7 linked regions of the Cricetulus griseus genome follow. The protein of the gene in region 2 interacts with the protein of the main gene of each other region in a pairwise test. Links are inferred from orthologs where the notes say so. Each region holds a gene or a part of one and is shown on either strand. Other genes may lie near its edges. The genes, in order: Ccnb1ip1, Krt15, Rad51d, Noc4l, Txlnb, Kiaa1217 and KAT8 regulatory NSL complex subunit 1.

Region 1 (4,154 bases), on a different chromosome or scaffold from region 2:
GGAATATGTTTTGTTTTTTGAGACAGGAGTTTGCTGTGTAGCCCAGGCTGGCCTCCAACAAGGAAGGAAAGGTCTACCTCAGCCTCCTAGTGCTGGGATTACAGGTGTGGCCCATAACACTGTTAAGGAACGTGTTTAAGTTGTATGTTGAATGTGCTCCCTTTTCCTTGGTGTATAATTAATTGATTCAGCACTATTATTCAATAGATGACTGTTGATGCTATTGCTTTCTATAGTGGACACTACTGAAAAGTAACAGTCTAGAGAATCAGTTGTAAATGTGTTAAACTATCGCCATATTGATAGATGTATTATTTAACTGATAATAAAACTTAAACATCCCAGCACTCGGGAGGCAGAAGCAGGTGGATCTCTGTGAGTGTCAGGCCAGCCTGGTCTACAGAGTGAGTGTCAGGACAGGCTCCAAAGCTACAGAGAAACCCTGTCTCAAAAATCAAACAAACAAACAAATTTAAACAAGCATTCTAATGTAGATTTTCAGGCTTCATCATAGATGAATTAGCATAGTTCAATAGTTCATATCTAATTTTGTCATGTAGCTAGTCTTTTAAAATCAAAGCAGTTCGGTTAAGGAATATGAGAACTCAAGATGTATTAAAAAAAAAAAAAACTTGAGGGACTGGAGAGATGGCTCAGAGGTTAAGAGCATTGACTGCTTTTCCAGGAGTCTTGAGTTTAATTCCCAGCAACCACATGGTGGCTCACAACCATCTGTAATGAGATCTGGTGCCCTCTTCTGGCCTGCAGGCAGACATGCAGACAGTACACTGTATACATAATAAACAAATAAATCTTAAAAAACAAAACAAAACAAAACTTGAGTGTCACTTATAATTTTTACTGCAGTTATGTGCAGCCTCATTTTTGCCACATATGAGATATACTAGCCCTGACTGTCCTAGAAATCACTGTATAGATCAGGCTGACCTTGAACTTAAAAAGATCTGCCTACTTCTACCTCTGAAATTCTATTAGGCTTTCATGACCATCATCATGCCTGGCCTTAATAGAATGCTTTGTGTTCTGGTGTTGGAAAATGGGGCAGATTTAATTTGTATTTCTTTGTGATGTTTCTAAACATTTGCCATTGTGCACAGTATTCTTGACATCAATAAGAGATGGGACTATCTGTATGTATAACTTAATTCACAGATTTGTATAATGAAAGACCACAGCATTGAGGCTGAAATCAATATAATTTTAATAAATAAAAAAATGTGCTTTTTGTCAAAATAAAAGTACATTTTTTAAAAAAGTCCACATTCATTACAATTTGTCTTACTTATCTTTTCATTTATTCCTTGTTAGGATTCTTCTGCTGGAAACTATTATCATGTCTTTGTATGAAGACATGTTGCTTTGCAACTATCGGAAATGCCGCCTCAAGCTCTCTGGCTATGCTTGGGTTACTGCCTGCTCTCACATCTTCTGTGATCAGCATGGCAGTGGTGAGTTCAGTCGTTCACCAGCTATCTGCCCTGCCTGCAACAGCACCCTTTCTGGAAAGCTAGACATTGTTCGCACAGAGCTCAGTCCATCAGAGGAATATAAAGCTATGGTACTGGCAGGGCTTCGGCCAGAGATTGTATTGGACATCAGCTCCCGGGCATTGGCCTTCTGGACATACCAGGTTAGTGCTTAGGGGCTGGGGAGATGTCCCAGTGGGTAAAGTGCTGTGTAAGCATTCCCTATGTCTGTGACTACTACATGCATAAACCTTCACACACAACTTCAGTTGTATTTCTTAAAAACTTTCAGGATGTATATTACTTGCAGATAAGGCATACTTATTCTGGCGCTGTGATTCTCTGAGCATCCCATTTTCTGTAATCACTGCATTATATGTTGTGATTATGTTTTTTTTTGAGACAGTGGTTTCTCTGTGTAGCCCTTACAGCCTTGGAACTCACTCTGTAGACCAGGCTGGCCTTGAACTCACAAATATTGCTTGCCCCTGCCTTCCAAGTGCTGGGATTTAAGACATGTAACACTACTGCCTGGCGTGATTATATCTTAAACCTGGCTTTAAATACTATGATAAGGACATCCCTGTATAAGCATCCTTTCCAGCTAAGCTTGGATGAGTCTGTAACACTGTGCTGCTTCTCATTTGTTTGGACAGGTACACCAGGAGCGTCTCTATCAAGAATATAATTTCAGCAAAGCCGAGAGCCATCTGAAACAGATGGAAAAGATATATACACAGCAAATACAGAGCAAGGATGTGGAATTGACCTCTATGAAAGGAGAGGTCACTTCTATGAAGAAAGTTCTAGAAGAGTACAAGAAAAAGTTTAGTGATATTTCTGAAAAACTTATGGAGCGCAATCGCCAGTATCAAAAGCTCCAAGGCCTTTATGATAGCCTTAGGCTACGAAATATCACTATTGCTAGCCAAGAAGGTTCCCTGGAACAAGCTACCATTGCACAGTCTGGTGTTTTTGGCTTTCCATTAGGTAAGAAGGAATCTGTTACCCAATACCTAGTTTTTAAATTATGGTTTTTCATACTGTGCTGCATAGTTCTGCACACTCAGAAGGCACTGAGAGTGGCAGGCCATGTTTAAGCTGTGGATTCCTTGTCTTAATCTCAACAACCATTGCTCTCAGTTGTATTTGCATACATTTAAATTATCTTTACTTTTTTTTTCTTTTTTCTTTTTTTTTTTTTTTTTTTTCTTTTTTTTTTTCTTTTTTCTTTTTTTTTTTTTTGAGACAGGGTCTGGAATTCACTGTGTAGACCAGACTGTCCTCAAACTCACATGCCTGCCTCTTGAATTGATTTCCATGGTGTGCCACCATGCCTAGTTTAAATTATTCTCAATTTGAGCAGAATTGATCTCTTCAAAACAAATGTTCAAGTTGTACTCTGCTAGCTATTTAATGGTACTAATTAATGTGAGCTATAACTTTTTCATTAGTGAGTGTTAAGTACTGCTGTTTCATGTTTTCATGTGATTTGAATTGCACAGGCTCTCCTGCATTTGCCAACAAGGCCATTTTAGTTTCTTTCCCATGCCAAGATATATTTTTTCTTTTCCATTTTCTTTTTTTGGTTTTTTGAGACAGGGTTTCTCTGTGGCTTTGGAGGCTGTCCTGGAACTAGTTCTTGTAGACCAGGCTGGCCTCGAACTCATGGGAATCTGTCTGCCTCTGCCTCCTCAGTGCTGGAATTAAAGGTGTGTGCCACCACTGCCTGGCCCCAAGATGTATTTTTATTTCATTATATTTATTTACTTGGTATGTGTGTGTGGCATTATATATGTGCCACAATACACATGGATAGGTCAGAGGACAACTTGCGTTAATCTCCTTGCACCATGTGGGTCCTGGGGATTGAACTCGGGTTGTCAGGGTAGGTAGCAAGCACACTTACTCACTGAGCCACCTTGCTGGCCCAGATTGCACAGTTCTTGTTTCTGCCCTTTGATCATTTAATTGTTTATTCAATCATCACATAATTACCATATATATATTTTAAAGATTTTATTTATTATGTATACAACATTCTGCTTTCATGTATATCTGCACACCAGAAGAGGGCACCAGATCTCATTACAGATGGTTGTGAGCCACCATGTGGTTGCTGGGAATTGAACTCAGGACCTCTGGAAGAGCAGCCAGTGCTCTTAACCTCTGAGCCATCTGTCTAGCCCCCAAATATATTTTAATGTGCCTTTGGGCATGGTTCTAAGTAGTGAGGATGTAATTATTGTCCAACAGGTAATTCAAAGTCCTAGGCTGACTCAGGATCATTGTGATAGGTGGGTGACTCATTCCCAGTTCTTCCCTTTATTACACCAGTGCAACAGAACCCAGTAGTTTTTCCCTCAGTATTAATATAATTGTATAAATTGGCATACAATCATTGAAGTCTCTTGTGATAGACTTTTCCAGGTACTCAAATTTTGGCATTTATTATAGGCTAAGGGAAAAGGTTCAGTGAGAGAAAATGATGTTCTAGAATGGGAATGAGGTGATAAGAACAGGCAAACAAAATGCTATGTGGCTGGGTCTAGTGGTACAAGCCTTTAGTCCTGCCCATGAAAGTCAGGGGCAGGGGCAGGTGCAGGGGCAGGTGCAGAGGCAGAGGCAGGGGTAGGGGCAGATGGATCTCTGAGTTCCAGGACAGCC
Region 2 (4,119 bases):
TATATTCCTGGTTCTGAGCTTCCATCTCACAGCGGAGCTCGCTCAGCTGGCTCTCCAGGCTGCTAATAAGCCCCTGGATCTGCTGCAGCTGTGTGGCATAGCGGCACTCCACCTCTGCCAGAGAGTTCTCCAGCCCGGCTTTCTGGTGGGGTGACAGATGCATAAACCCATTGGGCTAGAAGGCAACCCACTGGAGGGAGAAGAGCAGGAAGGGTGGTAAGGACTGCCTGAGGTGACAGGAATGTGTGAGGTGAGGCTTTACTGGCCATGTGTCACCCAGTAGGGAGAGAGTGACCGTACCATGCTGAGCTGGGACTGCAGCTCGATCTCCAGCCCCTGCATGGTGCGCCTCAGGTCTGTGATCTCCGTCTTGCTGGACTGGATCATTTCTGTGTTGGAAGCTACCTCCTTGTTCAGCTCTTCCGTCTGCAAGTCACACATGAGAAACATGAGCCTCATGGGCCTCCTCAGAGGCCTCTGGAGTGGGAAGGAGGGAGAGAGCAGAGCTGGGGGTGTCAGGCCCACCTTACTGAAGAACCAGGCCTCTGCATCCCGACGGTTTTTCTCCGCAATGGCCTCATATTGTTCCCTCATCTCGGCCAGCATGCGGGTCAAGTCCACCCCAGGTGCAGCGTCCATCTCCACATTGACCTGGCCCGCCAGCTGACTGCTGAACTCTTTCATCTCCTGCAAGGGGTGGGAGTGACAACCATTTAGAGACAAGGCTATAAAGCAGACAAAGAATCGAGAGTCCTGAGGGCTAACTCTGACTGTCTCTAACTCACAATGTGACCTTAGCACATCACACCACCCTATCTCTATTCCCCATTGGAACACATGGACCCCTCAGTTCTGAGGATCTCTCTTGCTCTGGGTCCTAAGAAACAAGGACCTTGAGATAATAAGCCCATGAAGCAAACCAATTCTGCAGTTCACACATGGCTTGGCCTTGGGTCCAGATTACCAGAGATTAGTGCCCCTTCTCTTCCATGGGGCCCCCCAGGTACATTTCTTAATCCCCAAGCCCTCAGAGGACTGTGACAAAAGACTGGCTGTCCTGGGCTTCTTCCTACCACCCTGTCTTGCTGTTACCTCCTCGTGATTCTTCTTCAGGTAGGCCAGCTCCTCATTCAAGTGCTCAATCTGCATCTCCAGGTCGGTCCTGGCCAGGGTCAGCTCGTCTAGCACCCTGCGCAGCCCGTTGATGTCGGCCTCCACACTCTGGCGCAGGGCCAGCTCGTTCTCATACCTGGGGAGGGGAGAGGAGCCAAAGTCAGGAAAGGTGAGGGGCCCAGGTTCTGAGTCATAGAGGAGGAAGGCTAGGTAGAGGGGGTGAAATGGACAGGGGTGGAGAAATGGGAACACACTTGAGCCTGAAGTCATCCGCTGCCAGCCTGGCATTGTCAATCTCCAAGATGACACGCGAGTTGTCAATGGTGGCCGCCAGTATCTGCAGGAGACAGAGTTGTACCTTAGGGCTGCTGCACGACCCCCTTCGCCAACTACTGCCCAGCTTCTCTTCCTGTGTGCATCAGTTGTGCTGGCCCATGCTCCCTTCCCTGTGGCATCTTCAAGGAATGGAAAACTAACGAGGCAGTATTGCCTGGGATTGCCTGGGGGCATGGCTAGTCAAGACCGTGCTGCAATGGATACAGTTGGCTCTGTCAGGTCAGGACTCTCGGGAGACACACTATACCAGCCTACTTGGGCACAGCTCACAGTGGCTGCCTCCTGCGTGCCTTGACAGAGCCCTTCATCTCCAAAACATTGCAGTCATTGGGAACTTGGACAGCAGCTAAGGAACGTGTTTGCCACTAAGGAAAACAGATCCAGTTAGTTAAAAGGGAAAGTGAGGGGGTGGCACAGCCTCCACTGAGTTCCCTGGTCTCCTAAGATCTAGCAATGATCAACAATAAAGACATCCTTGAGGCCTGAAGTAAACAGCCCTGGCATTTAGGACTCTTGAGGTTGTGCCTGAACAGCACACGGGTCACAAAGTTAAAGCAATCAGTTGCAAAAATCCCTGAAAGTTTTTGTGAGGCAGGGAGAAGGAGCTGCTCTCTTTTGTTGCCCTCATTTGCAATCCTGTGTATCCAAATCAGATTCCCAAGACCACTCCCTCCCCTCCCCCAGCACTGCCAAGTGGAACACGTGTGTTCCCACATGTGCCTGGGAAGCAGGTGCATCCCAGCCTTGCCAGGTTACACAGCAGGGAAGGACTCTCTTAGTCAACAGCAATGTTGCTGTTGCATATGTGTACAGGGCACCTACTGCCTGTTTCCCTCTGTCTGACATATATATGAGGACTTACTTTGTCCCGGATCTCTTCCATGGTCTTAAAGTAATGGCTGTAGTCTCGCTCCGGACTGGCTGGGCTCTGCTTCTGGTACCAGTCTCGGATTTTCACCTCCAGCTCCGTGTTAGCCTGCTCCAGGGCACGTACTTTGTCCAGGTAGGAGGCCAGGCGGTCATTGAGGTTCTGCATGGTGATCTTCTCATTGCCAGAGAGGAGACCTCCATCGCCACCACCAAAGTCACCAAAGCCACCACCAAAACCCCCACCAAAGGCTCCACCAAAACCGCTACCAGCACCACCACCAAAACCACAACTCATACCGCCCCCATATCCCCCTCCTGCCCCCGAGGAGACGAACCTAGCAGAAGAAGCAGAGATGCTTCGGCTCCCACCTCCCCCGTAGAGACTCCCTCCACCAAAGCCGCCTCCACCAGCACGGAGGGAACCCCCTCGGGTAGAGCCACCTCCAAAGGTGGAAGAAGTTTGCAAGAATGTGGTGGCCATGGTCAGGCAGCCTGAGCCTTCGTGTCCTTTTCAAGCAGGAGGGACTCTAGCAGGAGCTTCTGAGCTGGGCTGAAACCAGGCTGCAGTGCTGTCGCCCCTAGCCTGGGATTCCTTATATACTGTTTCAAGGGGGTGGGGGCCTTGCCTCCTCCCCCTGAGTGGAGCCAACTCCTCTGCCTTCCAGACAAATACAGCTGCCTGCACACCTCCACAGGGCTCGCTTGTGGTGAGTTTTTCTTTTCTTTTTTTTTTTTCTTAATGCAACAAGAGAGATGATTCAGAATTAATGGGGTTTTGCTCTAGGCCATGGTTTTAACACTTGGATTACAGGTTCATTTCTCACTCCAGGAAGGAGAAGAGAGCCACAAGAGCAAACCCTCAGCATAGCACCCAAGTTCCCTCATGTCCCATCCCGTTAGAGCAGCCAGGCCAGCTCTGCCTCCCACCCCAGCCCACTGCTGGCATGTGAGCCTCACCCCAGGTAGAAAGCTTCCTGCTTTCAGTTTCTCCCACCACTGCTCTGTACTACCTACTCAAACGCCCTATACATAGCCTTCGGGACATGGAAGTCCCCGGGAATGAGAACACAGGTGACCACAGTGCAGGCTAATAGGGTCTCAAGTCAACTTCCAAACGAGTTGACCAAAAAAGCCGGTGCCTGTCCCTCTCTCCCATCCCTGATACCTGGGCATGCTCTCTCCTCTCACAGCCCTCCCACCACCCCAATTCCAGAAGTCCCTCCTACCTCTTCAGTTCCCCCCCCAGCCCAGGGTCCTGGCTAGTTCACAAAAGCCCAGAAGGCTCAGGCTGACAGGAGTCTGATTGATGGTCCTGTCACCAGCCAACTGCACATGTCACTGAACCTCTGCTTGCTCCCAAGACGCGTTGGGGCAAACCTCTGCAGATAAGACCCAGGCGAGTTCCAGAAAGTCCCCCGCCTTCTTCAGCAAGAGACATGTCGCTGCTTAGCAGGGGCCAGATTAACCCCCATTTGCCTTGTCAGCTGCTGCCAGCTGGGGAGGGGCTGAGCTAGAGGCTCTGCTCTGCGTGCCTAAGTACAGGGAGGAAGGCGGAGGCAGGAAGGGGGGCTGGCAAGCAGGTGGAACACATCAGAGCTCAGAGGCCAAGGAATCAGTCACTGCAATACTGAGGCCAAAAAGGACAGGGTCTTCTGCCACCAGCTCTAACAGCCCTATTTCTCTAAGACAATGGCACTGTGGGCAGTGCCACCCAGACTGGAGAGAATCCACAGGAGGGCTTCTAATGGAGAGCTACAATACGAGAAAGTGAATAGGGCTCCAGCGTTCCTTGGGCCTGTG
Region 3 (3,977 bases), about 16 Mb from region 2:
TGACCTCCAGTGCCCAATCTATCTACCATCTAACCTAGTAGCTGCAGGATCTTATGCCGGTGCCTGAACCTAAGTCCCTATTCCTTCATGTACACATACATAGATGATTTCAAGGGCAGTGAACTCACATTAGGGGTTATGAAGGACAAATGAAATGCATGCCATGAAATGCTGAGCACAGTGTCAGAGTCAAGGTGAGCACTCAGGGCCAGCTCTGCCTATGCCAAGGCTACCTGTCCCACCCTGAGCCCCCACCCCCACCCATGAATACTGCAGCTGCAATCCTGCCAGTGTACCTTCTCACTGTTCCTTCTGTGGATGCTGGTTTTATAAGTTCCCTGGGCTCCAAAGCCAATGTGCCTCCTTGCCGCACCCACAAGTCTCCCATATACACTAACCACCATACTTAAGAGTGGGAGCCTTGCCTCACTCGTACAGATAGTATCTGCATGTGTCTGGCACCCAGTAGGCACTCAGCCAATGTTTGATGGATTACAAACACAGACCCCCCAAACAGTGGAAGCAAGCACCAGACTGTGCGGACCTTGCCAAGAGTGTGTTGTGGAAACAGCAAGGGCCAGACCAATCCAAAGACCTTTGTGATAGCAGTGTTATTCATCAAACTCCGCACAAACAGGCCAGAAGAGAGGTCAGGCTTACTTGGCCAGAAAATGCCAGCTGTCTTCCAATTCTTTCCCAACCCGAACAACAGGGCACAATATAACTGCTCTTTTCAGTGAGTGTACATGTTCCTGGCTGCTGCCTCCTACGGCAAAGGCATAAGGCTCTGGGTTATATTTCCCTGGGCTCACTTCTGCCGACCCCTCCTCTTAGGCTAACCACAAAGGAGGTCAACAATCTCTAACATCGGGGCTGGAGAGATGGCTCAGAGGTTAAGAGTACCAGCTGCTCTTCCAGAGGTCCTGAGTTCAATTCCCAGCAACCACATGGTGGCTCACAACCATCCGTTATGAGATCTGGTGCCCTCTTCTGGTGTGCAGATATACATGGAAGCAGAATATTGTATACATAATAAATAAAATCTTTGGAAAAAAAATCTCTAACATCTAGAGTCTATGGTAGTGGGTCCTGACCCTCCTGGGAAATTGAACAATCCTTTCACAGGGGTCACATATCAGATATTTACATTACAATTTGTAACAATGGCAAACTTATAGTTATGAAGTAGCAACAAAAATAATTCTATGGTTGGGGGTCTCCACAACATGAGGAACTGTATTAAAGGGTCACAGCATTAGGAAGGTTGAGAACCACTGCCCTAGGGTCAGACTTTAGGTGCAGACTCCCAGGAAATCTCAATCCTGTCCTGGTCTCACTTACCTTATCCTGAAGTATCAGAGACTCTACTGAAAACTGGGATATTAGGGGGGATGAGAGGGAGAACTGAGGTTGGAATGTAAAATGAAACTTAAAAAATAAATTATAAAAAATGGGGCATTAGTGACATCATGTGTTACAGGACAATGGCTCTTCAGTGGGAAATGATGTCTCCTAGGTGATACTGAGTCATATCTGGAGACATTTTTGATTGTTACAACTCAGGGCAGAAGAAATGACCTGGTATCTGATGGGTAGAGCCCAGGGTTACTGCTAAACGTCTCTCAATGCACAGGATACCCCTACCCTAGCAAATGATTACTTGCTCCCTAAGTCTCAATAGTGCTGAGGCTAAGAACCCCTGTCTTTATACTCTAAGGGGAAAAAAAAAAATCTCAGGAGTTCAGATGCCTCTAGGTTCCCTGACATATCCAGACTGCCCTCACCGGTCCTGCCCTTTGTAGTCTCCGCATGGGAAGCTCGGCTTTCAAGTTCTTGCCCAGGTAAACATACAAACCTTCCAATGCCTGTGGACAGGATGGCAGTGGAAGTCTTCAGTTCCTCATATAGGTCTGCTCCGTTTAATGGGAAAGCCGAGAACTGCGCCAGCAATACCCTCCTCAGGGCAACCAGGGCCTGCCAAAAGTACGGACACACAGTCTCCAGAGCACCCAGACTGCCAGTGACCAGCTTGTCCCGCAGAGCAATCTAGGTCTAGTGCCCCTTAGCAACTTCCGGGAACTCTGATTCTGCAGCATGGGGACCCGCTCTAGAAGAGACATTGGGATGGAGTTTGCACATGGTAAGCTCACCTTGTAGGACAAGCCACACTTCTGGGCTACCTCCTCCAGGTTAGCAGCTGCCAGGTCCGCCACTGGAAAGAGACCAAGAGCAACCTATTAACAACAGGAATGCTTTAGTTTTGCCACGCTTGCCTTTTCCTCTGTTGGGAAATGGCGTTAAGGTCTTAGTCTACTCCCCATCTCAAGCACGCAGGCCCTGATGCAGGACCCGGAGAGGAGCCCAGCACACAGTCGAGTCCTCTGTCTCCGTCTTGACTCCTGAGAACCCCATACTGAGGTCAAATTGTGGCCTCCGGTTAGATTGAAACGCCCCGCACGTGTGCCAACACCATGGCGCCGACCCCCGCGGTCGTGCCCATGTTATGTGTCACGAGCCCAGGAGGTCACCTGTCTTGATCCTTTGGCCCTTCAGAAGCTGGACGATCTCTTCGGTGAGGCCCGGGCACAGCCCCACCCTGAGCACGCCCATGTTTCCTGCAAACCCGGGGCGCCCCGGGGGCTGTCACATGGGCGCCCGCCGAGACCCCCCACTAGGTCCCACTTCTGGAAAGAGTCTCGGCACGCCAGCGCGGGAAGGGGGCGGGAAGAGGATGCAGATCGGGGTGAGGGACACCAGCCCTTCCAAACTCCAGAGCCCTGGACCCGCCCCCTCCCGGCGGACGCTTCCGGGTTCCGCAACTGGAGCGGCTTTTGTGGCCCAGGCCTGTAGCGCCATCTGCTGACCAAGCGGGCAAACGCGGCGGCCTTCAGGCTAGGGCCAACCACCTGCCAGTCTCAGCTACTCCCTCCCTCCCTCCCCCTCTTTCTGCCTCTCTCCTCTCTTTCTCTTTCCTCTCTTCTCTCTCCCTCTCTCTTCTCTGTCCTCTCTCTCCCTCTCCTCCCTCTCTCTATCTCCTCTCTCCTCCTCTCTCCCTCTCCTCTCCCCCTGCCCCCCCCCCCCGAGTCCCTTGTGTACTAGCCTCCATTCCCAACGCTAGGGACATTCACACCCTACTTACTGAGTGAAGCATACCCGCCTTCTAGTAGCATTCACGTTAGGGAAACAGACAATAAGGAGCAATCAGTTCACACCATTACAGATTGTATGATCCAGTGAAGTTCACACCTGCACCCCTGTATTTTCCAAAAAAAAAAAAAGTGTTTTAAGTTTTATCTTATGCATATAAATGTTTTGCCTGCATGGATGTCTGTGCACCCCTTACGTGACTGGTGCCTGAGGAGGCCAAAGAGGGGGGTCAGATTCCCTTGGACTTGTTACAGATGGGGGCTAGAGAAGTGGCTTAGCAGTTAGGAGCACTGGTTGTTCTAGAGGACCAGCGTTCATAACTCAGCATCTACTTCTCTAGCCCCATATTTTCTGAAGGTTTTTCTTTTCTGAGACATGATTTCTCTGTGCGTCTCTAGCTGTCTTGCTACTTACTGTATAGACCAGGCTGGCCACCTCCTGAGTGTTTTGAATGAGGATGTACACCATCACCACCAGGCATTTTCCAAAGATTTTAGTGGGAGTCAATGCTTGAGTATTTAGAACATGTGAAACACAGTTTACTATTTTGAAATGTTCTTTACCACATCCAGTGGGAGAAATAAAGCAGTGTCACAAACCTTTGAGTGAGGTTCTGTTTCTCTCTGTATTTTGTAGTTGAGTTGTGACTCAGGAAGACATTTATTCTCCGAGTTACGCAGCTAGCAAGCACAGAATTGAATCTCAAGCCCACATCCAACTGCAAAGCCAGTGTTTCTGAACTTGTTTTCTCCCCTCCCCGGAAGATGTGGGTTCGCTTTCTACCTTGTGCTCTCTCCATAGCAGAGAAGTCTGGCCCATTTTTAGAAATA
Region 4 (4,246 bases), on a different chromosome or scaffold from region 2:
GACAGCACCAGGACTGGATAAAACCTAAGATAAGCACCAGGAACCTGAGCCCAAGCTCACTGATCTGGCGTGCAATAGGGGCCCCTAAACCACAGTCCTTAAACCGGAGCACTGACTGACAGCCCAGGGAAGGCTGCCTCGAGGAGTTCACCCCAATATCTGCCCCGGGCTGAAGTACCAGGAAAGTAGGACGAGATTCCATTAGCCCTCAGCTGCTTCTGCAAGTCAGGGTGAACCCCAGGGATGTCCTCGATTGGAGTAAGATCCTCGGTGACACTCTTCTTGACACAGCTTGGCTCTGCCAGCCATGTTGGCAGGAAAGGCTGGACCTGAAAGAGGAAAACCACAAGAGTTCTGCAGAGCCCTTCTTGGAGCAACACCAGTCATTAGAAATCAGGAGCTACAGAAAAGACCCTAACAACAGCTTCTGTAGAGGCACCTGGGGAGAGCAAATGCTGGAAACGGAAGGGTATGGGCGCAGGATTTAGAACATATTAGCAGAACAGGTTTCCTCAAGCCACTACTGTTTTAGGACCAGCAAGGGGATCTGACAAAGGGAGCAACACGCACATTGAACAGTCAGCCCTTCCTCAACATCCATCCTTGCAGCCTTTAGACAAGATACCCAGAACAGCAACTGCCCGCCCCTGCACCCAGAAATGTTCTCTGTGGGGGGCTGCCAGGCACACAGTGGGGCTTATCCCAGTATGTCTTACACGACTCTGGATTTCGGATACCCAAAGGAACTCCATAAGCCTCCCGCTATCCTGCAGTTAGGGTCACGCAATGGCAAAAAAAGGAAAAGAAAAAAGACAAAACAAAACCCACAAACACCATACTCACCTTCGGTGTCTTCCTCCTTGCAAAGTTCCCCAGCACCGGGCCCGGAGCCGGGGATCTCGGGGCCTCCTCTGGGGGCCTCTCACCTGAGTCCTCTGAGCCGGTGCTGAGCTCCCCGGGCGTCTCCTCGCCTCTCCCTGAGCCTGAGCGACACAGCACAGCACGGGGAACATCAAGCCCGGAACGCACCCAGGAAGCAGCCTCCACACCCGGTCCACACCTGGACGCACGGCCCACCTGCGTCCACGTTGTTGTCCGCTTTCTGCCGCTTCGCCCTAGGAGCCTCCAGGCTCTGAGCCACCGAGCCGCCAACCCCACGCCGCCTGCGGGGCCGTCGACGCCGCCTGCCCGCCGCTTCCGCGGCCGCCTCGGCAGACTCGGGCTTCGGCTCCCGCTGCTGCCGCTCACGGGCTCGGCTCTGCAGCCGCTCGAGCAGCACTCGCGCCCGGCTTCCCGCCTCGGCCTCTGTATCCCCGAGCCCGGACGCCTCGGGGCCCGGGTACCGGGCTACATGGAAGAGCGCCATGGTCGCCGCACGCTGTCGCTCCTCCTTGGCGCTCCTCGATGACGTAACCAACGTGCCCTAGCATGTGCTGGTGACGTCACGAGCGCGACTAAGCTAGGCGCAGACATCCTTTCCCGGGGGCAGCTACCGGCGGCATGGACCGTCTCCCGGCTTCGGCGGGCTCCCGCGGGGAGCTGGGCCGCCTACTGCAGGCGGTGCTAACGAGCCGTGGCCAGGCTAACGCGGTGTTTGACATCCTGGCGGTGCTTCAAGTGAGTGGCGGGGGCGGCCCTGGGGCGGCAAGTGGAAGTCACAAGCGGGCCCAGCATCACCCTGTCTGGCGTTCCTCCTCAGTCCGAGGACCCGGAGGATATCCAGGAAGGAGTACGCACATGCAGCCGACTCTTCGGTACCTTGCTGGAGCGGGAAGAGCTGTTCGTGGGCTCGCTGCCGCGCGAGGACACGGTCCTGGCAGGTGAGTGACCTGGAGGGTTGGGGTGCTCTCCGCCAGGCCGCCCCAGTGGGACGCCAGATCAACACCAGGAGGAACACCCCAAGCCAGGACCGTGTCATAGACTATGCGGTGTAGGAGGACTCATTCAACACACTCTGGCTCTGCAAGTGAGATCCGTGTACTGGCCAGAGCTACACTGAACTCGTATACTTAGCAGCTTTTTTTTTTTTTCTCCTTTCGTGTTTTAATTGTGCCACTTCCAGAGTTTGGTATTATCACTGCCCTGGTGTTTGGGATATCTAGAGGCAAAGTGAGAGGAACTGTGTTTCAGTCTCTCCCCCCACTTTGCAGAACTCAGAAATGGTCTTTTCCAAGCCCTGGAAGCATGAAGATGGGAGACACTGGGAAGGTGGGGCTGGCTTTAGGACCTTGGTCTGGCTTGGCACATGTAAACATCAGTGGGAGTTAGCTCTCCTCTGCCCTCAGGATCCCAGGAAGCCACACACAAATACAAAGTGTGGATGAGACACCGCTACCACAGCTGTTGTAACCGCCTGGAAGAGCTACTGACCCATCCCTCCTTCCAGGTCAAGGTGAGTTTTGGTGTGTGTGTGTGTGTGTGTGAGAGAGAGAGAGAGAGAGAGAGAGAGAGAGAGAGAGAGAGAGAGAGAGAGACAGGGTTTCTCTGTAGCTTTGGAGGCTGCCCTGGAACTCACTCTGTAGACTAGAGTGCATGAGTACACACTGTAGGCTGGTCTCAAACTCACAGATCCACCTGCCTCTGCCTCCCGAGTGCTGGGATTAAAGGTGTGAACCACCAACACCCGGCCTTCAAGGTGAATCTTGAAGTTGTTAGCCCAGCTTCCCCCCTTACTCTAAAATAGTTCACAAAGCAGAGGTAGGGGCTGCAGACGTGAACATCTCTGTCCTGGACTGAGAGATGCTTTTCTACCGGCATGTCTTCATCACTGCTCTTTGTCTTCCACGCAGTTGTTTCATTGTGGGGTATGTGTGATTCACCTGGTCCTCAAGGCACAGAGTCTGTCACCCAGGTTCTGGGCACCATATCTGCTTTGAGTATTGTATTTGTTATGGTGTCTCCAAAATTGTGTCACAAAAGGGCAGTTAGGTGGCCTTCCCTGCAAGCCCAGCTTGTGTGTACACCTCAGGCCAGATTCTATTGAGTTCTTTCCCAGGATAACAAGAGCATGTCACTGTCACTATCACCACAGGTGTATATATATAACATGGAGCAAGAAAAGATGGGTCTTCCTTTCTCTCCTGCTTTTTGGCTCAGACATAAGCCTGGTTGTGAGTCAAGATAAGCTTTGGGAGGCCTTCTGGAGGGTGGGGACATCATGGTCACTCTTCTCTGCTTTCCAGGAGCTGGCCCTCAAGACACTCATGAAGTTTGTGCAGCTGGAAGGAGCGAAACCCCTTGAGAAACCCCAGTGGGAAAGTCACTACCTCTTCCCTCGTACACTCTTCAGGGTGAGGCCTTGGTGGGACCTGAAGACTGTGGTGGCCATAAGCCTAAGATGGTTCTATGAGTTAGCTGCCTGAACAGCTAGATGGGAATATTATGTTCCTGTTCTGTTCTTGTTTTTGGTGTTTTGTTTTTTTGAGACAGGGTTTCTCTGTGTAGCTTTGGAGCCTGTCCTGGCACTCACTCTGGAGACCAGGCTGGCCTTGAACTCACAAAGATCCGCCTGCCTCTGCCTCCCGAGTGCTGGGATTAAAAGCGTGCGCCACCAACACCTGGCTCCTCTTCTGTCTTGACTTGGGAGCTGAGCAAGGCTTTTTGCTTGCAGGTCTCTGTGAGTTGGAGAGGAAATAGCAGACAGCCTGGTGTGGAGCTTGGTGGGATGGTGATACCCTTTTTGGTCATTCTAGGACCACTGTGTGAGAGAGTCACTCACCTTATCTCTATCCCTAGGCAGTGGTAGGAGGCCTGCTCACACCCGAGGAAGACCACAGCCTGCTTATCTCCCAGTTCTGTGAGTACTTGGAATATGATGACATCCGGTACCACACAATGCAGGTGGCCACAAGCACTGTGGCCCGAACCACCAGCCAGCAACCTGAGGTAAACAGCTGGGTTCCATCACCATTCTGTGTCCTAGTACCTCAGGGAGGCAAGTGGACAGCTGCTCAGGCTAGACTTCCTACAGGTGTCACTCACCTTCTGGAACAATGCCTTCGTGTTGCTATCTGCTGTGAACCTGCCCCTCCAGGAGTGCAACCTCACCAACTTCTATGTGAAGCATGCACGTGAGTTCTGGGCAGGTTAAGGCCAACCGGAGCGCCCCCCCCCCCCCCCCCCCCCCCCGCAAAGCACCCCTTGGAGGTCTCCTCAACACAGTCCAGATCTATCAAGCCCAGCTAGCCACTGGCTTCCCCTCTTGCAAATTGGTGACCCCTTTTTGCTGTTATTACAGAGACATCAG
Region 5 (3,500 bases), on a different chromosome or scaffold from region 2:
AATTACATTTCCTTTTCAGGGAAAAAAATCATGAAAAATTTTAATGATCTGAATGGAGATAAAAGTTCTTTTATCTCCATGTAAGTAATTATTTCCTTGCTCATTAATTAGGATATTAATATAGAAAATGTCTGAAATATAATGGTTAATATGGAGTAAACTGTCAACTCTAATTCTTTAAATCAAACTGTCACTATAGCTCACTCATGCTTACAGAGCCTGAAGCCTGTAATATTATCTGCCATTGTGTTCATCAATAAATAAGGACTTGTTCATTAATAAGTAAGGAAGCTTCATGACTACATTCAGAAATGGCCTTAGAAAAACATTTTCTGGAAATTTCTTCAACTTCTATATACTTAAAAAGAATCATTAATACAATTCTAATTTAGTCATTGGCACTGATTTGCTTTTATTTTTTTTTAACTTAATGAAGAAGAAAGAACAGAAATTTCAGATAAATACCTGTTACAAATTTCCAGAACCGTGCCTACATGAATCATTTAACCTCACAGCCAGATCTGGGCTGAGGGTGACTTGGTTGTAATATGTTCACATTAATTCATTAAACCCCCCCATTCAGACACAAACACCAAAGTCTGAACTATTTGAAAAGAAAAAAATCATCCAAACATTAAAAAATGTAGGAAGTCCAGAGTAGTTCATTTTAAACCTAAGGAAAATAGATCTGGCTAAATTTTTAATGTGCATGATCTTATAACACAGCCAAAGATTAAATATGGCAAAGCAGGAATCATCTGTCTTCCACCTTCTAAAGCACATAAAGTATATATTTGTTTCAGGGAACACAAAGAAAGCTTTGGTCTTGTCTACCAAGGAGCTATAAATGTCTCTTATTGGAGATATTTCTGCATGTCACAATTAGATATGTTACTGTCACACAGTAGATAGAGGGGCCCAGGTTGATGGGCACATAACAGCCCATAATACAGAGGATTCTGCACAATACAAACTTTTGTCTATTCTGTCAACAGTGATGAACTTGCAAAGTTTTGACATATAGCTTAACCCTCAAAACTGAAGTCTAATCTATAATGACACAATACATCAATTTCAAGGAAGAAAAATCTTGCTCTAATCATAGGAAATTAATGTGCATGATTTTATAACACAGCCAAAGATTAAATATCACTATGGTACAAAACAAAAGGACCACATTTATCTTATAAACATAAGTTTGGCATGTAGGATCACTGGCTTTTCAAGAAGGGAATCAAGGCCAATCATTATTCCTAGTAGCATGGTTCTCTTTTTCCAATGTTAATTTTTAAAAAGTAGAAATTGCATATGGGTATAACTTAGAATATCAAATGTGCATATTCTTGGTTTAATCTGAGTAGGATTTTTAATAGTTATTCAACATGGTAGAACTAAAAATAAAGTAAGAATTGAAGGAAGTGTGACAATCTTCAAATAGTTCAGGGGGAAGAAAAAAATTTTAAAACAGGGAAACTAAAATGTGGTCAAGATCCACAAGGGATGTACATCCATTTCCATTAGGGTCTATGAGGCTCCAGGAATACCTGGCATCTAGAAGTACCCAATGGCTTCCCAGGAATTTTCCTTGCTCCTAGCCAATATGGTTACTGATAGAACCAGTCCCTTCCTGGCTTAGGCAACACCCAGGCCCTAAAGAAACCAAGTCCAGTAGAGTGAACAATTCTAGACCAAAGTCTGCTGCTTGCATGTGGCCACATGGATGTTCTATTTCCTTAGGTATCTTGTATCATATCTGGCAAGCCTACACTCATATTTTAGTATCTGAACATGGACAGTATGGGAATAAACTTCACCTGGATCACCAGAAACAAGGGTCATGATGTCTTTACTGTAGTCATAGAGAGGCTGAGGACAAAGTTGGGCAGCAGGGAATGTTATCAATATCTGCCTTTTGCCCACTGTGTTGTGTGTGTTTGGGTGTTATGATTTCGCTTGCTTTCCCATACCCAAAGAGTCCACATCTAAAACCCCAAATTATAAAGAGGATAACTGCACTTTATGTTACCAGGAGGCTGTTTTTTCTCTTTCCTATTTTTAAAACTGTCACCACTGGTTTATTTTCAGATGGAGTTATGAGAGTGAAATGTGAGCCAAGCAAACAAAATTGCTAGCCATGGTCTGAATACAAGATACTGCCATGAACAGACACACAGTTACAAGTGTGTCTTTCTTTTTAGGGTAGCACCAGATGACATCATGAGACAGAAACAAGAAAAATATTTCTAGATATCCAAAAAAAAATCAGAGAAGAGGCTAATAGAAGTAATAGTTATGTGAAAATCATATATACATATTATGTACATACACATTATATATACATATTTATGGAGCATATACATATTATGTTCTACAAATTATACCTACACATTATACAGGAGTGGGACTTGTGAAACTTATGAGCTGTCAGAGAAGCAGATAATGATGAAAAATAGTTTTAAACAACCACACAGAATGTCCTTAGGCTTTGCTTCTTCTCTGTGAGCTGCAAAGACACCCCTGCCGATTTCTTTGCTGCTTGAATCCCCATGTCTAGCTGGATGAGCATCGAGCTGAGCAAAAGAAACTAAAACTCCTACGGAAGCAGCAGGCACAGATCCAGAGAGAGAAGGACCAGCTTCAGAGTGAACACAACCGAGCCATCCTCGCTCGAAGCAAACTTGAGAGTCTGTGTCGGGAGCTGCAGAGGCACAACAAGACACTGAAGGTATGTGGCACGTTGGAATGACACATTTCTTAGCTGTTGCATAGACACAGGCCTCTGTTACCTGGAAAAGCATGAGTTACAACCAGAGGACTTACAGTCAAATACTGGCTCTGCTACTTGCTCATTTGTGATCTTCAAGTTTTTACCTTTGTGAATGGTTCCTCCATCATCTGATTGTGTGGTCAGAAGGGGAAAGCTAAATGATATTCCATTTGCAAGGTGCTTACATATAACAACAGCTGCAGGCCCAGAGTGAAATAAATGCCATGCCTCTTTCTTGCTTGCTAGGTGGAGTTTTTTGTTTGTTTATTTTGATTGGTTGTTTAGATGGTCCTTCATTTACTATCTAATTGTTTTTATTTTTACTTTATACGATTGGGTGTTTTTCCAGCATGTATGTCTGTGCATCACATGTGTCCCTAGTGGCCAAGGAAGCCAGAAGAAGGCATAGGAACTATTGTTATAGACAGTTGAGCTCTGCTGTGTGGGTGCTGGAACTAAACCCAGGTCCTCTGAGAAAGTAGCCAACACTCAACCTCTAAACCATCTCTCCATCCCTTAGATTGCACTTTAAAAATTTGTAAAAATTCAGCATTTATTTTAATTTAATGAATTCTGCATGACAAGGCATAGACACAAAGCTAATTGACATGCAAAAGTGAGACAGAGAGCCAAAAATATCAATAATTGTCTGAGAAAAGAAGCTACTTAGAAAAACACCGGAGAGCTCTTTCAGTCTTAATTACTCAATTTAAAAATAATAGACTGATCACTT
Region 6 (3,500 bases), on a different chromosome or scaffold from region 2:
GAAATCACCAGGTCACAGCCTGAAGATGCCCTGAAAACCATGGCTAGGAGGCAAGAGCAGCGCAGTCTTGAAGTCACAGCTCCAGCTTCAAGGACCGATGAAATTAGGAAAAATACTTACAGAACGCTGGACAGCCTGGAGCAGACCATAAAGCAACTTGAAAATACAATCAGTGAAATGAGCCCCAGAGCCCTAGTTGATACCCCGTGTTCTTCCAACAGAGATTGTGGTGCAAGCTCGCCCCACATAGCCCAAGAGGTCTCTCCCCGGTCCTTGATAGTTCTGGATGAAGTGTCCCCTGCCCCAGAGCCCCCCACGTCCATATCTTCAGCTTCACGTAAGGTATCTTGGTCTGTGGAAAATGAAAAAACCCAGCTGCTTCTTAAGCCTGTCATAATCACAGTAGCAAAAGGTGTCTTGTGGTTTAATCGCTTCCTTTCAGGTGGCTCGCGTTATTTTTGTCTATTCGTCATGTACCCGTCTCTCCTCCCTTCTCCGTCGCCTTCCAAAAACAACTGGCAACTAGGTGTCTAACAGCTAATCAATTCTGTTTGTGCCTCTGTTGCTGATTGGTGTTGGGTCCATATCAGGAAGCTGGGTCAGCCGTGTGCTGTTGGTACTCACATTAAAATCCAATCGATCGGTAGTGAGCTATTGATTCTGTTTGATTCTTCTGATTAACCCAGTCGGTGTCTCCTGGGTCTGTCCTGCATGTAGGGCGCTAGCTTCTCATTTGGCTTTCTCTGCACACAGTGGGGCAGTGTCAGTAACTATCCACTCACCTTCTTCTCTTGGTCTCTCCTCTCTCGCTGGTCCTTCCACAGGGTTCCAGTACCACACCACAGACAAGCCGGATGCCAGTCCCCATGAGTTCTAAGAACAGACCCGGAAGCCTGGATAAGCCAAGCAAACAATCCAAACTGCAGGATCCCCGCCAATACCGTCAGGTAGTTTTACCTTAAACCAAATTTTGGATGGACACATTGCAATTAAGAAGCCAGTTGCTGACTTAGTTTATACCAAATACTGTGTTTTCTTTGTGCGATATCATTTACGTAGACATCCTGGATCTGGGGGCATGAAGAAAGTCTAAAAAGAACCTGTGTTAAACTTTTCACCACTCTCTTGCATGCTTACAATAAAACATCTTTTCCTTTGTGACTTCAGACCTTAACTGTTAACACATGGTGCCAGGCCAGTGGCGGTTTCTTTGCTGAATGTAGTTCTTCATCAAAACCTCTTGGGAAACAGAGACAAACCAACCTGTCGTTGAACTGCTCTTAAGTCACCACTACTAACATCTGTGTTGACTGCATTGCTTTAAAGTCACACTAACTGTCCCACATTCACACTCCCCCACCCCAGCAACAATCCCCATGCATGGCTGACTGGCACCGTGGATGCCTGTGGAATGTGTGATGTGTGGTCGTCCTCTCTGTCACCTCCGTACCTCCTTTGCTATGTGCATGGGTGGTTTGAGCCGGGTCCAGATAAGCACAAAACTTAGCTCAGGCCGCGGACTGTATGTTGTTTTTCTTTTTCTGAATGATTCTCAAAAGGGCTGTGTTGCCAGGCCCTGTGTGTTGATCGTGTTACCAGCTTTCTGACAGAGTGTCTCCCGCCATCTTTGTTTGCAGGCTAATGGAAGTGCTAAGAAAGCTGGTGGGGATTGTAAGCCTACTTCCCCCTCCTTACCTGCTTCTAAGATTCCAGCCCTTTCTCCCAGCTCTGGCAAAAGCAGTTCTCTACCCTCTGCTAGTGGTGACAGCTCTAACCTCCCCAATGCATCTGCTACTAAACCACCGATTGCTTCTACCCCTCTCAGCCCCCAAGCAGGACGGTCCACTCACTCCACTTCCCTCATCCCCTCTGTCTCTAATGGCTCCTTAAAGTTTCAGAGCCCGCCTCATGCAGGTAAAGGCCATCACCTTTCGTTTGCACTGCAGACTCAAAATGGCCGAGCTGCCCCTACTTCCTCCTCCTCCTCATCCCCTCCCTCTCCTGCCTCCCCCACCTCCCTGAATCAAGGTGCCAGGGGCGTCAGGACCATCCACACTCCTAGCCTCGCCAGCTACAAAGCACAGAATGGAAGTTCAAGCAAAGTCACCCCATCCACAGCAAAGGAAACTTCTTAAAGGCCAGATCCTATTAGGCACAAGGTGGAATCACATTCTTGTTTTTAATTTTCAGCATCTGGAACAACTGTTTTCACAAGAGAATGTACCATAGTGCTGTACTGTTCAAGGCTTCATGCAAAGTATGTGCTAAATACCGAGTTGATAGATTGCAGTCAAGCTTGTTTTTTTCTGCTCTGTTGCTGTTGTAATTACATAGTGTTTACTGTCTAGATTCAATACCTATTAAATGAAGAAAGCATGTGTTATAAAAAAGAGAGAGAGTATGGTGAGAGTGGGGAGACGTGTGAGATGAGCTGTACTACGCATGTAAAACATGTATGATTCCAGAATTTTAGTATGTTTTGTATAAAAATATTTTTCATTACGGAGACTAGAGGTGAACAGAGAGATACACGAGTGTGACTATATAAATTGTAAAGCATATATTATGATATTTTCTTTTATTTTAGTGTTATTTAGCTTTATTACAGATTTCTATTTTTGTCAAAAACGTCATGGTTCCTTTCCAGATCTTTTTTGCCAAAACATTTTGATACTACAGCATTGTACATTTGAAAGTAGCATGCTAGACTCTAAGCCAATGAGCTTCTACACAGCCCGTAGGAAGAAATTCAGCAAAACTCTTGCTCTGCCACCAAAAGTATGGATGATAATTTGCTAGCCCAAGCAGGTTTGTTTTCTTTTTCTTAGCTTTCATTTTGTTTTCTTCTTCCTTTTTTTTTCTTAAAAGAAAAACCATATTAGTATTCTATAGCAGTTTTCTTTGAAGAATGTAAACCCCTTTTTATGTTTTCTTAGACCTGGTAACCCACACGATTACATTGTGGATTTTAAAATGTACACTTCTGTACGGTTCTGTACACTGAGGAACTTTTGTAAATATATAAATATAAATAGACATCAAAATACTGTATGTGACCGCACACAGAGTAGTTTTCCCACACCAAAGTTACTTTTTATGCATGCTCTAAGCGTCTATTGGGATGGGCACAAATGGGATTATCCATACATTTTTAAGAAGCTACAAGTTTGCACAGCTAGAGTGGTTTTGTAAATAACTGTATTTGTATAACACAGCCATGTAACATACAGGACTGTAAGCGGAGACTTGGCAAAACTAAATAAAGGGCTGCATGCTTATTATTTTTTGTACCTTGTCATTGTAACTAACTACTTCCTAGTCAGAGAGCATGTAAGTATTGCCCAGGGTCTCAGCTCTGAGGGCATTCTGAGTAACATGTAGCCATGTCCACTTATACGGCGGTGCGTCTCCGAAAGCTTGAAGTAGCAAAGGATGAGTTCCTAATAAACTAATTGACAGTGTGGTTGTCTGAACTTAATTTCCCGCCTGACTCCTCACTA
Region 7 (3,937 bases), about 5.0 Mb from region 2:
CCACCCCAGTGCTTTATTTTATTTTTAAAACGGGGGACCTCGACTCTGAATTTAAGAAATTATTTTTTTAAAGAGGTGAGTGTGTTATTTTTGTGTTCCTACGCGGGCAAGCCTCCATTTTAAGTGAAGCAGTAACTGGTTAAGCTGGAATGTTCATTCAGGCCTAGGACTTAAGGCTCCTACAAGGAAGGGGTCATTTAGTCCATCCTTTTGCGTCCCTACACACTTAGCACCCACCATCTTCAAAATTAATTCCTCTGGGCTGCTTTTAAAGATCTCTGGGAAAGAAGGATCTTTTCTCCCCCCCTCCATTTTTTTTTTTTAACTTGTAGTACTTCAGTGAAGAATAGCAACAATTATTATAATGATGATGATGTAGAATCAGCTCTGAAACTTTATTTATTTATTTATTTATTTATTTATTTATTTATTTATTTTGGTTTTTTGAGACAGGGTTTCTCTGTGGCTTTGGATCCTGTCCTGAAACTTGTAGCTCTTGTAGACCAGGCTGGTCTCGAACTCACAGAGATCCGCCTGCCTCTGCCTCCTCAGTGCTGGGATTAAAGGCGTGCACCACCAACGCCCGGCTGAAACTTAATTTTAAGAAAAGTTAGGACATTGGAGTTGCCAGAGAGGTTTACATTTATTAAATAAAAGTAGCTGTAGACTTTTTTTTTCCGGTGACGAGTTAATAAATCACTTTCAGTAGTGCTTATGAAATAATACTCTGGGAGAATGGGAGAATAACTTTTCCTCCTGGATTTTGGTTTTCTGAATCTTTAATAAGTAATTTTTGATTATTTAAAATTTATGGTCTCTGATGTAAAATATACATGTGAAATTCCCTTTCCAAAGAGAATTGTATATTGTACCTTTTGTTGTTGTTTTTGTGTTTGATACCATCTCAACAAGTAGCCTTGCCTGACCCTGAACTCACTAAGTATACCAGGCCAGTGTTGAACTCCTAGATGACAGCCTGCCTCAGCCTCCTCTGAGTGCTGGGATTAAAAGTGTGTGCCACACCTGCACACTTTCTAGGATGGTAAGGCAGTTGGCACTTAGCATCCTTCCCAGATAGAATAAGCTATTTGCATATTCTAGATTATTGTCATCTAAATGAAACATCCTCCTTTTCAGATCTTGCCACTTTTATCCGTGGTAACTGAGGGGATTTCTTAGTCTCTCCCTGCTTCTTTCTGAGGCTCATCTGAACTATTCCTGACACTATGAATGCTATTTGGATGCCTCTTAAGGTAAGATGTATTGGTTTTTCCTTATTACTTCATATGAGTGTTTTAGAACCAAGAATATTTGTTTGCTATTTGTGTTTTGAGACAGGGTCTCATGGTAGCCCAGGCTGCCTTGAACTTTTTAGATTGCTAAGCATGCCTTTAACTTCATGAACTTCCTGTCTCAACATTCCAAATGCTAGGATGTTCTTGAATTTACAACTCTTCAATTACCTTACAGGATACTTATCCTGAGGACTATTAGCTTCTTAGGATTTGTATTATTGCTGTTCTTGATTGGTGTTAAAATATTAATGAAGTTCTCAAATTAACTTTTATTATAATGATGAGTTCATTTTTTAAAATAATTTATTTAACTTTATTTTATGTGCATTGGTGTGGAGGTATCTGGAACTGGAGTTACAGACAGTTGTGAGCTACCATGTGGGTGCTGGGAATTGAACCTGGGTCCTCTGGAAGAGTAGCCAGAGCTCTTAACCACTGAGCCATCTCTCCAGCCCCAGAGTTCATTTTTTTTTTTTTTTTTTTAAACCTTAAATTATTACAGCTTGCATACTAGTAAAATTCTGTTCCAAACCTGGCTTATGGGGTTGGCAATTCAGACTTTGAGGTCCATTTTCAAACAGGTACTTACTTTAGAGTCATATGAACTTGGGTGTGTCCCACTTTTGCAAATCAGAGCTGATTCATGTGTTACAAAAGATGTGTCATTAACCATTTGTTTACTCTGAAGTTTCATATAGTATATTAAGGTTTATGTGTACAACTCTTCATCTGCTGCTCCTTAGGCCAGTTCATGAACCCTTACACTAATTTTTTTCAACAGGTAGCCATTGTGTCCTTTCATTTCAAGGGCAATGTGGGACAGTGACCATTTGTCTCTTATGGTTCTTTCTGATCTGTTCGGAGATGGCAGAAGAACTCTTGGTTAGGGCTAAGCAGAAGACTGAGCTTAAGGCTTGAAAGTGAGGAAGTGAGAGGGAGGACCAAGAACTGATAAGTAGTGCTAGAAGTCCTCTGTCAGCCTCGCCTTCCTTGAGAGTTAGATAATGATATAGTTAAGATTGTTTTGATCTGCTCCATGTAATTCCAGAATAGTATAGTGGGTAAATCAGAATAATGCAGTCTGTGTAACCTAAATATTTGGACTTTTGGGAAATCTTTAGGTAATGTAGACTGGATCTTATCCTCACTTTTGTTCTGGCTGCTCTTGTTGGATGAGTGCATATATTAATATAAAGGGGTCCAAAGTGACTCATTCTTTGCAGTCTTTTCCCCATGGTACAGCTGGAGGGATTGAATGGGGAAACAGTCTGAAGAATCGATTGCCTAGGAACTGGAGGACCTTGTATAATTGTGTTTTCATTTCCTTTTTTAAAAAAATACATTTATTTTTATTTATGTGTGTTGGTTTTTTGCCTGCATGTATATCTGTGTCACAGTGTCAGAACTCCTGGAACTGGAGTTGACAGACAGTGGTAAGCTGCCATGTGGGTGCTGGGATTGAACCCTGGGTCCTATTAGTTAGTATTCTTAACTGCTGAGCCATCAGGACTTGCTGACTTCTATGACCAGTATATTAGATTTCATGTTTCAGCTTCCTTGGTTTTAAGGTATTAAATATATTGAGGCCTACTTTTTAAAGATGTGTGAAGTGTTTAAGGTTTTACCTCTAATGGTAAACCTGGGGAATTACCAGAGTCCTTTGACTTGTCGGAAATACAGTCAGTGTCCTATAGTAAGTATGAATTATTATCTCTTAACTACTCGAGAATGTAATTATGTGGCTGCCTTAGTTTTATGTTTCCTACCAATCCTTTGATCGGTGTAAAACTGTGCTAAGTTTAAGCTTTGTTGTTTTGAGATAGAATCTTGCTATATGGTCTAGACTGGCCTAGTACTCTAATGACTCTGCCTCCCAAGTGCTGAGATTTCAGGCATAAGCCATAAACAGTTTTTTTTTTTTCTTCACATTTTCTACCTTTATTTTTTTTTTTTTAGAAATCAGTTTTTTTTTTTTTTAATGTATTTACTTTTTATATGCATTGGTGCTTTGCCTGCAGGTATGCCTGTGTGGGAGTGACAGATCTTGGGAGTTACAAACAGCGTTGAAGTGCATAGGGGTTCTGGGATTTGAACTCCGGTCCTCTCGAAGAGTAGTCAGTGCCTTTGACCGCTGAGCCATCTCTCCAGCCCCTTCCTCCCATTTTTTATACTTAACATTTCAAAATACGTTTAAATTGGCAGAAACAGTACGTTTTTTTCTATATTTTCAAATTAGAGTTTTTTTTATTTTATTAATTAAATTTTTTACTTGTATTTTATGTATGTTGGCGTTTTGCCTGCATGTATGTCTGTGTGAAGGTGTCAGATCCCCTAGAACAGGAGTTACAGACAGGAGTTACAGACAGGTGTGAACTGCCATGTGGTAGGTCCTCTGGAAGAGTAGCCAGTGCTCATAACCACTGAGCTATGTCTCTAGCCCTTTGTTTTTGTTTTTGAAACAGGGTTTCTCTGTGTAGCCTTGACTGTCCTGGATCTCTGTAGATCAGGCTGGCCTCAAACTCACAGAGAACTGTCTGCCTCTGCCTCCCAAGTGCTAGGATTAAAAGCATGCACTGCCACACCACCACCAAGTTATATTTTTAAATAAAAAGAAATGAGACTTTAATTAAAGTGTATACATC

What was found.
Region 1: the proteins of Krt15 (region 2) and Ccnb1ip1 interact in binary tests that used the Homo sapiens proteins (3 or more experiments, as listed by UniProt). The two-hybrid records come from large-scale screens. The link is inferred for Cricetulus griseus from reciprocal best matches to the Homo sapiens genes KRT15 and CCNB1IP1.
Region 3: the proteins of Krt15 (region 2) and Rad51d interact in binary tests that used the Homo sapiens proteins (3 or more experiments, as listed by UniProt). The two-hybrid records come from large-scale screens. The link is inferred for Cricetulus griseus from reciprocal best matches to the Homo sapiens genes KRT15 and RAD51D.
Region 4: the proteins of Krt15 (region 2) and Noc4l interact in binary tests that used the Homo sapiens proteins (3 or more experiments, as listed by UniProt). The two-hybrid records come from large-scale screens. The link is inferred for Cricetulus griseus from reciprocal best matches to the Homo sapiens genes KRT15 and NOC4L.
Region 5: the proteins of Krt15 (region 2) and Txlnb interact in binary tests that used the Homo sapiens proteins (3 or more experiments, as listed by UniProt). The two-hybrid records come from large-scale screens. The link is inferred for Cricetulus griseus from reciprocal best matches to the Homo sapiens genes KRT15 and TXLNB.
Region 6: the proteins of Krt15 (region 2) and Kiaa1217 interact in binary tests that used the Homo sapiens proteins (3 or more experiments, as listed by UniProt). The two-hybrid records come from large-scale screens. The link is inferred for Cricetulus griseus from reciprocal best matches to the Homo sapiens genes KRT15 and KIAA1217.
Region 7: the proteins of Krt15 (region 2) and KAT8 regulatory NSL complex subunit 1 interact in binary tests that used the Homo sapiens proteins (3 or more experiments, as listed by UniProt). The two-hybrid records come from large-scale screens. The link is inferred for Cricetulus griseus from reciprocal best matches to the Homo sapiens genes KRT15 and KANSL1.

What each region holds. Positions count from the first base shown.
Region 1 is NW_023276807.1:206,448,730-206,452,883, reverse strand, and holds the start of Ccnb1ip1 (E3 ubiquitin-protein ligase CCNB1IP1), read left to right. Parts: upstream 1-1,354; coding exon 1,355-1,651; intron 1,652-2,143; coding exon 2,144-2,477; intron 2,478-4,154. UniProt on the Homo sapiens protein: Ubiquitin E3 ligase that acts as a limiting factor for crossing-over during meiosis: required during zygonema to limit the colocalization of RNF212 with MutS-gamma-associated recombination sites and thereby establish early differentiation of crossover and non-crossover sites.
Region 2 is NC_048600.1:112,452,179-112,456,297, reverse strand, and holds the start of Krt15 (keratin, type I cytoskeletal 15), read right to left. Parts: upstream 2,801-4,119; coding exon 2,312-2,800; intron 1,451-2,311; coding exon 1,368-1,450; intron 1,250-1,367; coding exon 1,093-1,249; intron 688-1,092; coding exon 526-687; intron 427-525; coding exon 301-426; intron 143-300; coding exon 1-142.
Region 3 is NC_048600.1:96,308,849-96,312,825, forward strand, and holds the start of Rad51d (DNA repair protein RAD51 homolog 4), read right to left. Parts: upstream 2,801-3,977; 5' UTR 2,611-2,800; coding exon 2,529-2,610; intron 2,213-2,528; coding exon 2,151-2,212; intron 1,975-2,150; coding exon 1,856-1,974; intron 1-1,855. UniProt on the Homo sapiens protein: Involved in the homologous recombination repair (HRR) pathway of double-stranded DNA breaks arising during DNA replication or induced by DNA-damaging agents. Bind to single-stranded DNA (ssDNA) and has DNA-dependent ATPase activity.
Region 4 is NC_048597.1:90,432,644-90,436,889, reverse strand, and holds the start of Noc4l (nucleolar complex protein 4 homolog), read left to right. Parts: upstream 1-1,446; 5' UTR 1,447-1,500; coding exon 1,501-1,617; intron 1,618-1,699; coding exon 1,700-1,820; intron 1,821-2,285; coding exon 2,286-2,392; intron 2,393-3,182; coding exon 3,183-3,290; intron 3,291-3,735; coding exon 3,736-3,885; intron 3,886-3,970; coding exon 3,971-4,070; intron 4,071-4,237; coding exon 4,238-4,246. Other genes in the region: ATP-dependent RNA helicase DDX51, read right to left, coding at 179-329, 844-983, 1,078-1,366.
Region 5 is NC_048595.1:271,868,300-271,871,799, reverse strand, and holds part of Txlnb (beta-taxilin), read left to right. Parts: intron 1-2,554; coding exon 2,555-2,725; intron 2,726-3,500. UniProt on the Homo sapiens protein: Promotes motor nerve regeneration. May be involved in intracellular vesicle traffic.
Region 6 is NC_048596.1:212,852,205-212,855,704, reverse strand, and holds the end of Kiaa1217 (sickle tail protein homolog), read left to right. Parts: coding exon 1-342; intron 343-824; coding exon 825-947; intron 948-1,637; coding exon 1,638-2,135; 3' UTR 2,136-3,281; downstream 3,282-3,500. UniProt on the Homo sapiens protein: Required for normal development of intervertebral disks.
Region 7 is NC_048600.1:117,493,648-117,497,584, reverse strand, and holds the start of KAT8 regulatory NSL complex subunit 1, read left to right. Parts: upstream 1-1,137; 5' UTR 1,138-1,253; intron 1,254-3,937. UniProt on the Homo sapiens protein: Non-catalytic component of the NSL histone acetyltransferase complex, a multiprotein complex that mediates histone H4 acetylation at 'Lys-5'- and 'Lys-8' (H4K5ac and H4K8ac) at transcription start sites and promotes transcription initiation.